Linked DNA regions of Drosophila melanogaster. The protein of the gene in region 1 interacts with the protein of each later gene in a biochemical or structural test. Each region holds a gene or a part of one and is shown on either strand. Other genes may lie near its edges.

Evidence for each region.
Region 2: the proteins of dpr21 (region 1) and DIP-beta form a complex in vitro, tested with the Drosophila melanogaster proteins (one study listed by BioGRID).

What each region holds. Positions count from the first base shown.
Region 1 is NT_033778.4:3,064,469-3,069,550, forward strand, and holds the start of dpr21 (defective proboscis extension response 21), read left to right. Parts: upstream 1-2,030; 5' UTR 2,031-2,118; coding exon 2,119-2,158; intron 2,159-2,208; coding exon 2,209-2,414; intron 2,415-5,082.
Region 2 is NC_004354.4:21,454,707-21,459,922, reverse strand, and holds the start of DIP-beta (Dpr-interacting protein beta), read left to right. Parts: upstream 1-2,184; 5' UTR 2,185-2,372; exon of another isoform or gene 2,373-2,457; intron 2,458-5,216.

The DNA.
Region 1 (5,082 bases):
ATCACTCGGTAGATTGATACCGGGGTTTTATTTTTATTTTTTAAACTTCACACACCTTCGTAGCGGTCCAATCAATGTTAGATGGGCTACACAACACTGACCTGGTAACAGTCACACCTTTTATTTATTTTGGTGGGTCACACTTTAATGGTCACTTGCAGTTTTTAATTTATATTTGTATTAATAATATCCAACATCGAGAGTTAGATAACTATTCACAATTATTTTGCCACATAAGTTCTTTTGCGGATCTGCTTTGTATAAACTGAAGCACAAACGAAACTTTGTTCGCCACGAGCTGCGCTTTATTAATCTCGAACTAATCTATTAGCTCTAAGAGATTATGTTCACACGCAGATCCTACCGACTGCGCCAATTACAACTTCGCGGTTTATTGGTTTATAAAAAAAGGTATTTTTATTGATCAAAAACTTAAGCTAATGTCGGAGACAAATTCACGTCTTACACAATTGAAGTATGAATAAAATCTAAGTCTAATTTACAAAGCGAACGCTTAGCAAACCCTTTGTTGAGCATTTACTGAGTATTGAGTATTTACTTCTTCATATTGAGCGTACATAGGCTCTCATTTATGTTTACGTTAATTAGGCGCTCTCTTGAGTGGAATGCGCATGGATACAGATCAGCCGAGTTTGAGCTATGTGGAAAGTTTCGACCCTTAAAGCTGTGTAAGCAGTTTTCACCCTGTTTGTGTTTATGTTAAATTGTTTCCATCGGCCGAATATGTTATTGTCACCAAGAAGTTGGGGTTCTAATAATTGTTTTTCTTATGTGCTAAGGCGTTCTTCTATTTTCTATTGTTGCTAAGTAAAAGAATATATAAAGTGGCTGGTATATGTTGTAGATATATCTTATGTGGTTGAGCTTACATATTTCACTATATATATATAAGTTATATTAGCATTTTTCTCAATTGTTTTGAGCAATATGATCAACAATGACCAACGCCCCCCTAATTTGGAAAAATTGTAAGACCTAAAAGTTCCCACTCCGCTATTTAGTGGGTATAGCTTAACAGTTATTGAGAAAAAGGTTGAAAAACTTATTTGCCAAGAAAAGATGCAAAGGAAGCTTTGATCGTATAAAGACATCGACCAGCCAAATTGAACAGAATTCCTATAAGCCAATGACTTATAGTGAGCCTATTATTACAAATAATCGAGTTTCTCGACTATCAGATACCCTTTACTCAGCTAATGGGAATGCGAATGTGAAAATTTATTTTTTGTTTGGGATATCGGGGATATAGATTGATATTGGGGAATAAAATAAGAAAAAATTAAGAAATGGTTTACAAGTGTGGGCGCGACCGTTTTGGGCGTTTTTTAGGTGTAAGGAAGGTTGTGGCCAAAGTGTTTTTGGTACACCAAAAGAAATTGGCAAGACAAACAATTAAACGAAGAAAAATCTAAACATTTTTTAAATGTGTAACGGGTATAAAAATATCTTACTCCACCACTGAGACTTTCTCATTCATGATCTTGCCGAGTATACCAAGATAAAAATACAACGGCACAATTCGTAAACAAGTACTATTTAAGTAATCTCTAATTATCTTATCTTATTATTATATTTTTATTAATCTTATTATATTCCGCAAACGTATTTCTTGTGTCGCCCGCTCTGATTTCAGAGAGGGTCACTTCAGCTTTTGTACCTTTCAAAACAATATGCAATCCTTTGCAGTATTTTTGTGAACAATCCATATATAGAGTGTTTCTTTACGCAGTTTTTAAAAGTGAACGAACGCCTTAACGCATTTCCGGTGTCTTGCAAGTGAGCTACAAATTGTCCTGTAGTGCCATCTCCTGCCAGTATAGTAACCATATCTATTCACACATAATTTTATATATATACATTTAATAATATATTATATGTATATAATATATATATATATATAATAATATAATTAACTTAAGAAGAAAGGATAGCTGCCGAGAAAAACTTGTAATATTTTTATAGATATTTTAAAAATGTATTTTAAGTAATGCGCATGCGTTTGCGCATGTGAAAAGTAATTCAAGGAAAAACGAAATAGTCCACTAAACTAATGTATGTTAGTTAGTGTATGATGTTTGAAAACTGAAATCATTAAAAATGAAAGTTTTTTTAACTTTTCGAATATTTCTTTGCATTTGTAAGTATACTTAAATGTGTAAAGAAACATACAAATGATAAGTTCCTTAGTAATTTTAAAGGAAACTTGCCCACAACATTTCAGAGAGAATGTTACCGTGACAGACTTGTATTTAATAAGTGAAAATATTGTTCCAATGAAAAGGGTTCTGGATAGAGGCCCTTACTTTGATACTTCAGCTACTAAAAACGTGACATCCTTAGTTGGCATAACAGGACACCTAAATTGTCGCATTAAAAATCTTGGAAACAAAACGGTGAGCTCATGTATTCTTCCTATGTTCACGGATGTACTCTTATATATTTTAGATTATACCCGTCTAAAGGATATGAAAGTATTATACGCGAACAGATGTTTTTTATCGTAAGCGTTTTAAAAAGAAGAATAAGTTTTAAATTATATATCCTACCATTTCTTTTGAATGTTACGAATTGTCATTACTTTGATTCCACGTTGACCTTTCCGGCCTCAGCGATGCCTTTGGGCTATTTTGTTGTATTTGTTTTTGTGTCTCATACTTACAGTATTTACGGTATTACGGTAGTTTGTATGTATTTTTGAATATGAATCAAGCAAAGGAGTTTAACCGATCATTTAGCTAAGTTATTTCAAAGAGAATGGCTCTGCGTAGCGAATAATTATACCCGTTACTCGTAGAGTAAAAGGAAATACTAGATTCGTTAAAAAGTAGGTAACAGGCAGTGGGAAGCGTTTCCGACTATATAAAGTATATATATTCCTTATTATGATCAATAGCTAGTCGATCTATACATGTCCATCTGCCCGTATGAACGTAGAGATCTCAAGAACTATAAAAGCTAGAAGGTTGAGTTTCAGCATACAGAAACTCAAACTTTGCAAAATGCCCTACAGCCGCCCAACCGCTGCCACCCCCACATTTTTAACCATTTTCGATGTTTATCATAATTTTATTAGTCTTGTAAATTTCTATAGATTAGCCTTTTGCCACGCCCACGCCCTAAAGGCGCGGAACCGGTCGCGCCCATACTTTAAACAATTTGTAATAATTTTTTCATTTTATTCCCCAATATCTATCGATATCCCAGAATTGTGATGAAATTTGGCCTTTGCATTTACACTAGCTGAGTAACGGGTATCTGATAGTCAAGGAACTCGACTATAACGTTCTCTCACACTAGCTGAGTGAATGCGAACCCCAAATTTTTATCATATTTCGATAGATATTGGGGAATAAACAAAGAAAAATTTAAATTGTTTAAAAGTGTGGGAGTGACCGTTTTTGGCGATTTGTTAGTGAAAAAGGGGGGTAGCCACGGTGTTTTTGCTATACAGATTTAAATTGGTTAGACAAACAATAAAACAAAGAAAAATTTAAGCAGTTTTTTAGCGGTTTAGAGTGGGCGTGGCAAAAAGCTTTTTGGCAAATCGATAGAAATTTACACCAGTAATAAAATTATGAAAAAATATAATTTATATAATATAAAGAATTAACTATCAATGTTTCACTAATTTCAAAACACAAGTCCTGGACGTTAGAGGATTGATAGGATATAGGCAAGGCCTAGGCTCATAAGATCAGTGCCCAATCTCTTACAGCCAAGGCGACAAAGTGTTTGTCGCTGCTAACAAGCTGTAACGAACTGTTTTTCTTAGTTCGTCCCACCAAATTTATGATTTGTGTGATTGCGCGACCAAGGAAAAGACAGAGTTTCAGATTAAGGACTGACTTCTCGGGTGATCGCTGTCTGCTGCGCGGCGTTGCTCCTACGACGCTTTGCCTACTTTGTCCTGTGTGTCGAATTGGATTAGGATGTTATGGGACAGGGTGTATTGACCACGGCCAATGCTCGGCCTGGGACCACCTTTGCCGACCACTGACTCCACTGACCCTTCCAAACACGCCAGGTCCTTGCTCCTTATGCCGGCCTCTTTCTGCCAGACGCTTCCTTCGTTTGTTCTTTACCGACTTCTCTGCACGTTCTCATTCACAAGCTCCATCCTTGCACGTGCTGCCACAATACCTCCTTCCACGCGCAGTCTGGTTCTTTGTCTTAGTGATTCGTTCCATGCGCGTTCTTGGTCACTAACTCTCTACTCCTCCGCCTTCCGGCTCCGTTCCGAATGCGCGGCTCGCGCCGTTACTCTCCTCGACAATAGTATCCCGCAGGGATCGCGTTATTTCCCCTTTAGCGCACGGCCCGTTCGGGTACAAGGTCCAACAGTTGTACCGTTAGTTCACGGTGCATCCTTTTTGTGCATGCACCGTTACCGGTCGACCTCTGTGCCCTTGACCAGCTCGAGTCCAAGGTCCAGCGCGGTGACGTTAGTTCACGGTGCGTTTTCTATGTCCATGTCCAAAGTCCGCAACGTTGTCGTTCGACCTTTGTGCCATTGGCGCTTTTTGCATCCGGATTTGTGGGGAGTTTTCAGACTCCTCACACGCTTTTTCGTGATGAGTTCTGTAGGAGGCGGATGGAGGAGCCGAATGGCTCCTCACAAAATATAAAAGCGCAAAATATAAAAAAAAAACAAGTGAGAATGCTTTAGACAAGCTCCCCGACTATCAGATAGCCGTTACTCAGCTGGTGTGAGTGCGAACGCGAAATTTCATAGTTTTTATAATTACGAGCTCTGTAATTATCGAACGTATACTTCTCTGTTGACTGGTTTAGCACGGCGACTCTTGCCTCAAGCATCCACTCTGACAGCAGCTCTCCCCGTCTATAGTTAGCTTGCCCCTCGACATGGAGACACTGCATTCGGATTACGGGGGTTCTGCTGGCCTGCAGAAGGTCCGCATCCATCTACCACAGGTACGGTTCCAGAATTGCATTGAACTGGTAGTATGCGGCTCTAATGAAGATTGAGCCAAAACTTCCTTTAACGACCCGGCATACGCCATAATCTGTGGTGAGGGTTTCCAATGGCATATAGAAGGCTTC
Region 2 (5,216 bases), on another chromosome or scaffold:
GCTAACCAAAGACTTCGGAGCCATATTTAAACAAAAACGGAAATTCAAGTGCATATCCACCCTAAGACGTTGCGCCAACTACATCAAGCTACTTGACCTTCCCCTGCCTAAGCCCAGGAGGCCCTTCAAATCGCCAGCACTTTGGGGTTCCAAACAGCCTAACATAAACCTTCAAATATACAATGCTGCCAAAAAGGATACAGGTCGCCTAGAATACCAAAAACGTTTTATGAGCGCACAAGAAGATCTTGGTGTGAAAAACTGGATCTACACCGATGGTTCTAAAGTCACCGGCGCAACTACTTTTGCGGTCGTTGACTCTAACCGTAAAATAATTGCAGGAGGTAGGCTTCCGTCCTACAACTCCATATTTACAGCCGAAGCTTTCGCCATTCTCAAAGCATGCCAATTCGCTTCCAAAAACGCTGGAAAATCTGTTATCTGCACAGACAGCCTCTCCTCTCTTTCCGCTATACGCAACTGGAACCATAATGACCCCACAACACAAGAAGTTAGGCACATTCTAAGTTCTCACCCAAAAAAAATCACCTTACTCTGGGTTCCCAGTCATCAAGGTATTCATGGGAATGAACTTGCTGACAAAGCCGCCCAAGAGATGAGGCTTACACCATCAATCCTGTTCACTCCGTTTAACTCCAAGGACCTAAAAAGTCGAATCAAGTTATACCTCAAAGAAAGGAAACTCTCCGAATGGGCACTCTTCATGCACAGGTACCAGTCTATCAATCCGAATTGCATCATGTTCAAGCCACCAACGAACGTACATAAACGGGAATGCGCGACCTTTATCCGTCTACGCATCGGGCACACCCAATCCACACATCAACACTTACTGACGAGATCGGCGCGACCAACATGCCAACTATGCGGGGACGAGCTCACCGTTGACCATATTCTCAACGCCTGCAGTCAATTGCACTCAATTAGATCTCACTTATTTGGTACACATAGTCTCTCGAATTGTTTAAGTATCCCATCCTGTGAAAATATCTCAAAAATTTACAAATTTGTCCAAAAAGCTAAGTTTATTATATAAAGCAATTAACCCATAAGTCTCGAGTCGAAGGCCCCCGTAGCTAGTACTCATTAAATTTAATTAGGTTTAGTATTGTATACTATATTTAATTTTGTTAAATAAATAAATAAAATAAGATGATGTGCTCAAAACAAGTTTTGTTACCTAACCTAGCTAAGAAACAATGCAATCTGGAGTCGTTGACAAGTATGTATGTAACAGAAGCAGAAGGAAGTGTATAAAAACTAGTGACTAGTCTTACAAGTTATCTTCAAACGTTATAGTTACAGTTGTCGTTAATGTCTAGCTAAAATGTTCCTATTTTTTCAACAACAAAAACTGCCTTAATCGAACTATTGCAACCTATGTAAAGTAAATTAAGTAAAAGTTAAGTCTATTGAGACTTCTGCTTGCTTCCACCTTTCCATCTCCCTTGCACAGTCCTTAGGTGATTAATAAATATCCGATAGTCGCATTCATTAAAATCTTTTTTTGGAAATTTAATTAATATGTTTTAAAAAGTGATCAAGCAAAATAAAGATATATTTTCTAACGTTCGATTTATTTTCAATATGCTTTCGTCTTTCTTTGACTTTTCCTAATTTTTTGCACAAGGTAAGGCTTAAAATATCGTCAAAAGTCGGCTGATATAAATTCTATATGTATTCCAAAACAGCTAACAATGTTATATCCCATTTGAAAAATGATGAAAGCGAACAACCGAAAAACTAGCTCTTGGTAAAACATACAGCCTTTTATATTTCAGCAATTGGTTTCTGTATAACTTTAACTCGTTTTTCTTTTCTTTTAGAATGTTTTTCAACCAATAATAATCAACTGGGCAAAACTAACCACTTATGCAGATCTCTGCGTTTTAAGTTAAGGCAATTGCTCTAGTAAATTTACCAGCTTCTAAATGTTGCTGGCAACATGTTGCCAGAGGACAAGCACTGACGCCTTCGTCCGCCACACGAGCTCGTCCTTCGGAAGCATTTCGGCTGGCCTCGGGATGGCAGGCACGGGACACGGGACTCCACAGTGCCAGGACATCGGAAGTCGGGAAATTGGGAAATCGGGATGGCCGTGCTGCCGAAGGACGAGCACATTGCGCTGGGTCGGCCCAATGCGAAACGCGCTTGGTGCGACAGGTTCAGTGCTCGGGCAACTTCCTAGCGCGTCGGTTCAGTTCAGTCCAGTGGATTCGAGACACGAAAGGACTCAGTTTCAAACTAAAAATTCCAAAGTTTCGAAAACGGGTTTCGAGTGGCGCGAAACAACAACGATACAATGATACAATTACTCTAGCTGAAAGTCGAGAGAAGAGTTTTTGACAAGTGTTAGTTGATTATTTTCAAGTTTTTTTTTAGTGTTGGCCAGTGCTTTGGACTAGTTTCGAAGCTTTGCTTGTTTTTTCGAACAAGGTAATTCTAAGACCCAAAAATTCAAAAGTTTTTCGCGAAGCATACGATGTGAGCTGTGACTGCGTATTTAGAAATTACTACACTAGTGAGGTGAAGCCAATCCCTCGTTTAGTCCTTTACTCCATTGCCCGTCGATCGCTGCCTAAATCATTTCACATACGCTTGTTCACTCATTTGTCAATTGCATTATCGGTGGTATGTTAGCATTCCCTTTCTTTTCTCAGCCTTTCAACCAATTGTTACACCAATCGAGTTGTTTTCTTGCGAATTCTCTCGACTGTTCATGAGTGAATTCCTTTTCAGTTCATTGAATTTCTATGTCCTTTCCGTTTTCTAACATTAACTTTCTTTGTTTGCATTTATGTGAGTCACTCGTCACTCGTTGGAATCCTTTATTCTCGTTTCTTGTTTTCAGTAAATAAAACAGTTGATTTGCCAAGTTGCAAATTAACTTTTGCCAGTTTTTTTTCCCAAAAACAACTATCTTTATACCTTCGTGTGGGGAAAATGTAGTCACCTTTTATGGTCAAAATCATATCGTACATTTTGTCGCATACTAACGATTTGATAAATTGTTTAACATAATTATAAAACTGTCAGCTTGTGTTCTTTTCGTTTTTAATTGTTTGTAATTATATATTTTATATAATATGATAGCATACATTACACATTGCAAAAATTAAGTAAGGTTTTCAATATCTTTTTTAGTGGTTTGTAAGACGATCCGAATTCAATTTTATTTTAAATCCGGTATCCATGTATTGCTTTGAACCCTTTTTGTGTTTCTGATTTCCTTCAAGAACTTTCACCCACCTGAACTTTAAAACCCCATTCAATCTCTCGCTCATCCCTCGCCATCCGCCACCAGTTTGGCACATTCTTGAGGTACCTTTTCTGGAAGACTCCTCCGAAACTTTTTGCCATCGAACAAAAGGCGCCAAAATGAGACTGCAGCATCCAACTAGCAGGCCAAGTTTTTAGTTGGCAATGATTTATGTTTTATTAATATTAAAAGTGATTTATTAGCCATGAAATTTGTGAGCCAACTTGGTCGTTGGCCCTTATTCGACCAGGTGAAGGGAGTGCTGGCTGCATGCGCGATTTTTTAATTACAGATGGAGTGGGACAGGGAGTACTGTCCAGCTGCAGGCTCCATTATCCTTAAGCGCGGACCTGGCCGCTCATTATCCCGACGTCCGAACTTAAGCTAAACTGCTGCACAGCGAGATTAAAATTGTAAATGACAGCCAGCGTGACAGGACAAGGAAGGAGCAGGCATCTGCTCGTCCTTTAATGTCCTGCGCCGTCCAGCCACGCCCCTCTGCGCCCCTCTGCGACCCTGTTCGCAACCATCCGCTCCCCACCCACCAGCCGTCGCATTTTGTCGTGTTTTTAATGAAAATTAATTAATTAAATAACGTTTTTACTCATTCGCATCGCCTTGCCCAGCAATTGTCTTCCCTTGTGCGCAGGTGTGCGTGTGAGGATGCATTTTATATTAAATAATGAAGTGTGTAAAATGTATGCAGTGGCACACAAAAAGAGCAAAGAGGCAAATGAAAGGGCTTTATGCGGCAAATGTAAATTTGGACCTTTTTGGGCACAGGAAATCTCAAGCTTCAAAGTGCACAGAGAAAATTGTAAACGCAATTTTCCAAAATCTTTATTAATGGTTTTTTTTTGGGAAACTTTACTTTGGGAACGTAATTAATTTTATTATTGGTCTCGAATAATCAAAATTTATGTGCAACATTTTGTCATTATATTTGGGAACCCTTTTTGCAAAATGTATACAATGCATACTTCCGAAATACCTAATTTTTTTTGTTTGCCTGTCGAGAAATTCCCCGAAACTTCCCAAAGCCATTGCCAAATTTTGGCATCTCGGTCAACACAAAAAAAGTCATGCACTTCAGTTAGCATTAATTTGAAATTTGACTGAGACTCATCTCGATTCCATCTGGTTAACCGGAACCAAGGCAAGAAGCTTCGCGACTCCTTGTCCGCCGTGTCTAGTGGTTAATCAACTAATATCTTATAAAATCCGAATGGAATCCATCCGAATTCATAATAGAAAAGGGATCTTTGGTTTTGTGCTGCGTCTGGGAGATTGGAAATATTTCTCGATCTTTGTACTGAGCACAGAGGAATTGTGTGCGAGTTCTGCGCCTATGGAACTATTTGTATTGGTCTGAACTGACCCTGAACTGGCTCACATTGGAACCGAAATATATGATGATCTCCAAATTTAATTATCAGAAATGAATTTGAAACACTTCCACATATAAACTCAGTTACTTAGAGTAAACGTAGTCACTTAAAAGAACCTGAGTACTTAATTATAAATTTAAAAAAGGTTTTAAAATATTATTTTTCTAATTATCTTGCAAGCCCCTACAGAACGCCAAAGACATTTTTGCTTGGCGCCCATAAGCCTAGAACCTGTCTGCTTTTCAGATTCAGGCTTTAAATCTTGTTGAAGGTGGAGGGGAATATTTCATTATCACTATCCATTCACATGCCAAAAATTGTTTGCATCCACTCATTACAATGTTACCGTCAAAATAATGTATGCCACATCCTCCATTTACCTAGCCCTTAGGGGTATAATTAAAAATGAGTTCTAATTGAAACTGTAGTTTGCCCTCATAATACATTTACTTTTCAAGCTACTTTGTCTCCGATTCTGACGAACCTTTTGAGACTTTAAAAGGATATTTAAATGTCGGCTTATTGGGTCTAAGCGAAACAAGTTATGT